Linked DNA regions of Kluyveromyces lactis. The protein of the gene in region 1 purifies or fractionates together with the protein of each later gene. This does not show direct contact. Links are inferred from orthologs where the notes say so. Each region holds a gene or a part of one and is shown on either strand. Other genes may lie near its edges.

The links. The genes of interacting proteins can lie anywhere in the genome.
Region 2: the proteins of NAT1 (region 1) and ASC1 purify together in Saccharomyces cerevisiae (affinity purification with mass spectrometry; 4 studies listed by BioGRID). This does not show direct contact. The link is inferred for Kluyveromyces lactis from reciprocal best matches to the Saccharomyces cerevisiae genes NAT1 and ASC1.

The regions. Positions count from the first base shown.
Region 1 is NC_006042.1:787,573-791,801, forward strand, and holds NAT1 (peptide alpha-N-acetyltransferase complex A subunit NAT1), read right to left. Parts: upstream 2,908-4,229; coding exon 394-2,907; downstream 1-393. Other genes in the region: GAL7 (UDP-glucose:hexose-1-phosphate uridylyltransferase), read left to right, coding at 1-282; U2 snRNP complex subunit CUS1, read right to left, coding at 3,287-4,229. UniProt on the Saccharomyces cerevisiae protein: Non-catalytic component of the NatA N-terminal acetyltransferase, which catalyzes acetylation of proteins beginning with Met-Ser, Met-Gly and Met-Ala.
Region 2 is NC_006041.1:1,085,390-1,088,819, reverse strand, and holds ASC1 (40S ribosomal protein RACK1), read right to left. Parts: upstream 2,043-3,430; coding exon 1,491-2,042; intron 1,350-1,490; exon of another isoform or gene 1,258-1,349; intron 1,091-1,257; coding exon 662-1,090; downstream 1-661. Other genes in the region: HEK2 (Hek2p), read right to left, coding at 1-10; APL2 (Apl2p), read left to right, coding at 2,692-3,430. UniProt on the Saccharomyces cerevisiae protein: Component of the ribosome, a large ribonucleoprotein complex responsible for the synthesis of proteins in the cell.

The DNA of each region.
Region 1 (4,229 bases):
AGATATGACAATCTCTTCGAAACGAGTTTCCCATACTCCATGGGTCTTCACCAAGCCTCTCTCAACGCTACCGAAGGAGAATTGAAAGCCGCTTGGTTCCATATGCATTTCTATCCACCATTGCTAAGATCGGCCACTGTGAGAAAGTTCTTAGTAGGGTTCGAGTTATTAGGACAACCACAAAGAGATTTGACTGCTGAACAAGCAGCAGATAGACTCAAAGCCCTAAGTGGTGAAGTACATTATTTAGCAAAACTTGAGCAGGAAGAAAGCAAAACTTGAGCAGGCAAAGCAGAAAATATCCGTATAGGAAAACTTATTTACAAGTTATACTCACATAAAATTTCCAAACTTAGTCACATTCGTAAGCTTTTAGATCCTACCTAACGTTACTTAAAATTCATATTCTAATATTGAATGCTGAACGACAGGATCTTCGTTGTCTAGAACAGAAATGATGTCTTCTTTAATTTCTGGTTCTGGAATGGACTCACTCGAATGATGATAAAGTATCAACAATGATGGCAAGGTTTTGCCATATGTGCATGTTACAAATTGTACCTTATCGCCAGATTCTGACAACAGATCAGGGAATTCCTTTTCTATACCCTTAATGGCGACTTTCTTGGCTATGACATCATGTGGATAAGAGTCTTTTGTGTTCTCTAAAAGCACCAATGCCATACTTGCTGCAACAGAATCTTTACCATTTAACTTAACATATTTTGTGAGTGCGCCCAGAGCCAAAGCTAGCTTACCAGTTCTCAAATGGAATTCAAATTCCAGCAAATGTCTTCTCGTATCATCAGTGGTTTGGGATAAATATAGTTTCAAAAATTGATTCTCGAATAATTCCAAAGGATTTGGATCATTGAGTAAAGTTTCACCAAATGGATCCTTGTCATCAAGGTAGGCAAGATACTTGGCCTTTTCTTCTTCCTTCTTTTTATTCAAAGCAGCAGCTTCTTTTTTGGCCTTTTTGTTGGTCTTCTTCTTGATAGAACTGTCATCATGCTCTTGTTCAACTGATGCAGTTAGTTGCAAAGAATCAAATCTTCCGAAAATTATCCTTGAAGCACCTTCCATAGCCCTAATAAACATAGGCAAAGTATAGAGGTGGTTTCCCCATTCAAGCATATTCACGTAGGCTCTTGGTGTCCCTTTTCTCATACAATAGGAGTGGAAATCTAATTGATCATCCTCAAATTGCTTGTAAATCTTAGGAATTGCCATATAACGTTTTAAAGAAAGGCCCTCAAACTTATTAACATTGAATTCCAATTCTTTTAGAAGTTTTCCATGAGATTCTATCTCATCAACGGTAAGTGCAGTTATATCTTTATTCTTCAAGCCGATTAATTCCTTGCAAGATTTTTTATACAATCTGAAGAAGCTCTCAGCTTGTTCGATAATGAACCAAGAGGCTTCTAGGAGGTGTAAATCTGGTACACCATTTGGAGATTGGTCGTTTTTGGTAAACAATGACACGATCTTAGTAGCCTCATCAATTTTATCAGCTCTTAACATGTATTTTACAGTCTTTGCATTAATAAATCTATCTTGCAGGTCAAGTTCGCGACCTTTATCAATAACTTCTGAAGCTTCTTCCAATAGCCCCAAATGCTTCAGGACTCTGGACTTGAGAATATATACCTCAACAAGAGTTGGAGTGTGGTTCATTGCTTTGTCAGCATATGCATTAGCCTGCTCGAACTGCTTTCTATGCAAATAATGTAGAGCCAAAAAGTAAGTTGTCCAAACAAATTGGATTGGTTGATCAGTCGATGATAGCTCAGCATAATAAGGTAATACAATACTTTCAACAATATCCGGAATACCTTCCTTCTTGTAAAGAGGTTTGATGTTATTGAATGTGGCTGGAACACCGCGATTTAACTGCGTTATGATATAATCATTGAGTTTCGCGGTTAATTCTACCTTATCTTTGAGGAATGTGAGCGGAATGAATTTAGGAGGCTCCGATTTAGGGTAAAATATAGCCAACTTTTCATATAAAGCTTTCCTCAACTTCTCATTTCCTTGAATTCCAAGTGAAACTTCCAATAGCCTGTAATATCTGAAATTGTCTGGACTTCTCTTAATCAAAGTTCTGTACACAATAGAGGCTTCCTTAGACCGACCAAGTTTCATTAAAATAGAAGCTTTCCTCTCTAACCAGCCATATCTATCATAAACATCGTCGGAAATCTTTTCCAAATGCTCTAAAACTCTTTCCAAGGATTCTTTATCGTTGCCTGCCTTCTTGTACAAAAGATCATTCTTGTACATGATACATTCGTTGTTCTCATACATTTCTGGTTCACCCAACTTGCCTTCAGCAAGCTCTTCAAATGTCGAAAGAGTATTGATTGCGTCTTGCGTACGCCCATTCAAATCTTGTGCTATGGCCAATGAGGTCCAATTGGCACGATATCCTCTGTAGTTTTCCCAGTACTTTTTTCTCGATTCCAGCGCGCCTTTGAAATCATGAATTTGAGATTGCAATGTCGCCAAATCTCTATAGATTTGAGTGTTTGTAGAACCATTTTCTAATGCGGCCTTGAACCACTTTACAGCGTCTGAGTAATTTTTCACCTGTCTGTAATAAATTCCTAATAAGTGTCCACCAATTGGACTTACAAGAGTGCCTTTAATTTTGGATAACGCTTTATCAATGTAACTAGCAGCTTCTTCAGGTGTACTACAGAATTGCAAGTTCAATCCCTTCAAAATTATAGAGTCCACATGACTGCTGTTCTTCTTCAAGATTGTGTCCAAGATCTTCAACGACTTCTTGTAATTTTTACCTTCATATAGTTGCAGTGCTTCCAACATATTGCTGTCATCCTTAGACCTACCAATTGGAAGTCCCACTTTCCCGTGAGATAGTCCCTTTTTTTTATACATGCTAGTGTAGATCAATGGGTCGCTGAGTGTAGATAAGCAAGCCAGTAAGAGTGTTTCTCCATTTATTCAGTCATGAATATGATTGTTGAACTTGATAATTTTCATGATTTAGACGTTGACTATTGTAAATTTTTCAGTTTAGAGATACATTGAAAATGAAATGTTTGGGTTTGAACGAACTGAAGGTAATAGTTAGCAAGCGGAGCTGGTACGATTCAAGGAGTTTATTACTCACCTACTGCAATAAAGTTAAAACATGTTGCAATCCAATGATACTTTTGATATAGTTACATACTCACATTTACAAATATTTTACGTAATTAAAGGGAAACAGCTGACACTTTTGAAACGTAGGGTTTCTAACGAGTTAATGTAAAGATCAAAAACGGAAGTCAGGCTCTTCTTCCACTTTCTGTTTTTTATGTAAGACATTATCATCGTCCTTCTCCTCTACGCTTGTTGATCGTTTGTTCGTAATATTGTAAGAGGTAGTGGAACTGATTATTGTAGATCCGTCGACTTCGTTTGATTTAGCTTCCGTTAGAACAGTAAATAAGGGTCTATTTTCATCATAGTGCTGGTTGACTACAGAGCCTCCATCAATTGGCACTAAGCCTGAATTATTGTTTTCATGTGTCTCGCTTTCTGTTTTTGTTGCTTCCGCTTCATTGGCGTCTGAAGACACCTCATCGTCGGAAATTGATTCGTTCAACGGATCTGGATCAATATGTGCGTCTTGATCTTCTAATTCTTCAAATGAGAACATGGCTCCGAATAAGTTTTGTTTGGGTATTCTCAAAGTATCTTCAGGGTAGTATCCGTATTGTGTACCGGTAAGATTAGAGATTTCCCAATTTATTCCACAGACTTTCATACCAGGGTATGATTTGGGTAGTCCTAATCTATTCATTTCATGACACCAAGGCGGGAGCATCCCCTCCGTGAGATTTAATGCCTCCCTTAAAGTTTCCGATAGATACCCTGGTCTATATCGTGTCTTTATTTGTTTCCATTCGAGTTCACTATCCAAACTTCTGTTTTCATAATATAAATCACCAAATGACAATAGTTCAGGTTTCCAATTCTTTCCCAAAGTGAAAAATGCTTCGTACAACCTTTTATAATCTAGATCTAATACACCTAGCTTGGGTTGAACTTTTGCTCTGGTAATATCCTTCAATTTCTCTGCTTGCTTTTCGTTTCCAGAGGGAACAGTCTCTCGCATCGTTTCAATATCGGTTTGTCTAATAATCTCAGGTAATTGAAATGGCTTCCTTTCCATCATTGATCGTCCAGATAAATAACCTCTTTTCATTTGCCAA
Region 2 (3,430 bases), on another chromosome or scaffold:
AAGATGACATAATTTTTGGATATGATCTGTCCTGTAAATATTAGAGTGATATTCTTGTACCTTTTAAAACGAACAAAGAAACAAATGGTTTAATTTACAATTTACAATTTACAGTAGCAAATATAATCTGAATACACAAAAACAATATGAGCAGTAGAAGAACCAAGTCCAGTCCAACCTAAGCTAATGTAAGTTTAAGTTTGTTAATATGAAAAATTTTAATTGAAACGGAATATTTTGCAAAGAGGTTTAAAGTGAACGGTAAAAGTTCAAAAAGTAAATAGAATTGCCATTATAGATAGAGTACGAGTTTCTGCGTTTTCGCCAGGAAGAGAGAGAAAGAAAGGGTGATATGAAGAAAGGGAAGCTAAGGTACCGGGTTGCCCTTGGAATAGCCCTGTGCCACGGTTTTGCCTAACCGAAATGCATATTATGCATGTATAGGTAGAAACCATTGAAAACATAATAATAAGCTAAGATAACAATATCGGAACTCTTATAAGACAGATTAACCGAGGGGAGATCTAATATTATAATGTAAGTTTTTGTATAACTAATATATACATAAGGGATTTATGTTATGATTTATTGGTAATGACGACGACCAAGAATAAATTGTAGGGAATAAAAGCAAAATTAAGAGATTTTAAATTGCTACAACTTAGTTGGCGGTCATGACTTGCCAAACTCTGATGACGTTGTCGGTGTAACCGGCGAACAAAGTTTGACCATCAGCAGACCAAGCCAAAGAAACGGCGTGTGGGTCTTGAGCCTTGGTGTAACCAGCAAATTCTGGCTTCAATTCGTCGATCAAGACTTCGTTTTCCAAGTCGTAGATCTTGATACCAGAAGCAGTAGCAGCGGTCAACCAGAATCTGGATGGAGAGAAGGCCAAAGCAAAGACTTCGTCCTTAGCGTCGAAGTTCATGAAGGCGCTCTTGTGCTTCAAGTTCCAGACGTAGATTTGACCGTCCTTACCAGCAGAAGCAGCTAGAGATCCATCTGGGGATGGTTGAACAACGTTGATGTAGTTGTTGTGACCGATGAAATCAGCTTCGATTCTGTAAGAGTCTTCGTTCAAAGACCAGGACTGTAGTTAATAAGGGGAATGGAAGATAATTCCCAAAATATTGTTAGTAAAAATGATATTTGGTTCAAAGCCATGAGATATATCTGGGAATACAGGCCCAAATTGCTCGCTCCATGATATTCAAATGCACAAAACTCAATTCAAAATTTTAATTCACTAATTAAAAAGACATCAGAGATCTTGGTGATAATTAGTATGTCTCATTCGAAACCATGTAAGGTTACGTCTGAAGTAGCAAATATAAGAAACATCATTTGTCATAGTATAGTGAATTGAGCCATGTATTTTGAGAATATATTACGGGGAAACAACTGAGGACCTGAATTCCAAGGTAAATCAATCTAATCGGGAGATAGGCAATGCAATGCAATGCAATAAAAGAAAAAAGTCTGGCACATACTCTAACGATCTTGTCCATACCAGCAGAAACGAAAGTGATTCTACCGTCATCGACTTCACCGTCTTCCAAGTTCTTTGGAGCAACTCTGACCTTGGTAACCCAGTCGGTGTGACCCAACAAGACGTAGGCACAGTCACCGACAGTGTTCCAAACTCTGATGGTCTTATCTCTGGAAGCAGAGATAATCTTAGAAGAGTTAGCATCAATGGCAACGGACAAAACATCACCGGTGTGACCAACAAATCTAGCTTCAGAGTTACCAGTAGCCAAGTTCCACAATCTCAAGGTCTTATCCCAAGAAGCAGAAACGGCGTAGTTACCGTCAGCAGAGACAACAACATCTTGAACGATGTGAGAGTGACCCTTGTAAGATCTAACTGGGACACCGAATTGTTGTTCGTTTTCGGTCAATCTCCAGGAGATCAAAGTCTTATCTCTGGAACCAGAAACCAACAAGTTTGGTTGAGCAGCAGAGGTAGACAAAGAGGTGACCCAGCCGTTGTGACCTTCTAGGGTACCTCTCAAAACAAGCATAATATTGCTGGAAGACATTTCTTTTCAGTTAATTCCTTGAGATGTGTTGTTCTGATGAATCAAAAGAAGAGAATAGATAACAATTTCAATCAACAAGAACTGATAGCTTAATACTAATGCAGTAAACTCTTGCAAGTTATATCAAGTTCTTAATACTTTCTCAATATTCAAGTGATGAGCTTTGGCTAGAAAAGAATTTTTTTTCAATGTGCGTGGTGCGTGCTGAGTGGTACGCTGAATGGTGTAAGGGTGTCGCGCGTATCTTTTGGTCTGGCAACTCTGAGGACTGTGTTTTTATAAAAAGTCGGGTATATCAGTACACCACACTGCGGTGCGTAAGAATTTACGCAGAAGTGTGAATCTCCCTTAGCAATTTCCCTAATCAGGTAGTAACCATTCTTATTAGGAAGTGAGATCTCTCAATACCGTAACCCGGACATCATATGATGTCCGGGTTACGGAATCTTCCGATACACGTGAGCACACACGTGACCTCGCCAGCAAGCTTTCACTTTCCAGTATTCATAGAAAACATCAATCAAATTAACTGGAATCTGTATATAAATAGATGAACCTGTTTATATTCAAGACTCTGTCCCCAAGCGATTAGTCTTCCTTCCTCCAGCCAATTGCTTGCTCTGCTTTCTCATAAATACCAAGGGAAACAATGGGTGTTGATAAGAAGATCAAGAAGTTCTTAAGAGACGCCATACGAGTGGCTCCTAAGATTTCCAATAAAGGTGAATTGTTTGAACTACGAAATGGATTAGTATCTCAGTACCCACAGACCCGAAAGGACGCGATCCGTAAGATTATTCAACAGATGACTTCCGGCAAAGATGTTTCATCTTTGTTTCCCGACGTTTTGAAGAATATAGCCACTCAAGACATTGAACAGAAGAAATTGGTATACCTTTACGTGGCTAATTATGCAGAAACTCATCCGGAGTTATGCATCCTTGTCGTGAACACATTCGTCAGCGATGCAGCTGATCCGAACCCATTGATTAGGTCTATGGCAATCCGTACCATGTCGATGATCAGAGTTGATAAGATCTTGGAATACATTGAGATTCCGCTAAGAAAGACTCTAGTCGATGATAATCCGTACGTGAGAAGAACCGCGGTACTATGCGTTGCAAAATTGTTCCAATTGAACCCGGACCTATGCCGTGAATTGGGCGTATTGAACGATTTGCAAGACGCTTTGTCTGACGATAATCCAATGGTTGTTGCCAACGCGCTTGCCGCACTGCACGAAATTAACGAATTGGACCCTGGTTCAATAGATATCAAGAAATTAGTATCTCAAAACGTTAAGAGGTTTTTGAACGTGTTGAACGAATGTACAGAATGGGCAAGAATCACTATTTTGGAGTCATTGAGCGAACACAAACCAATTGACC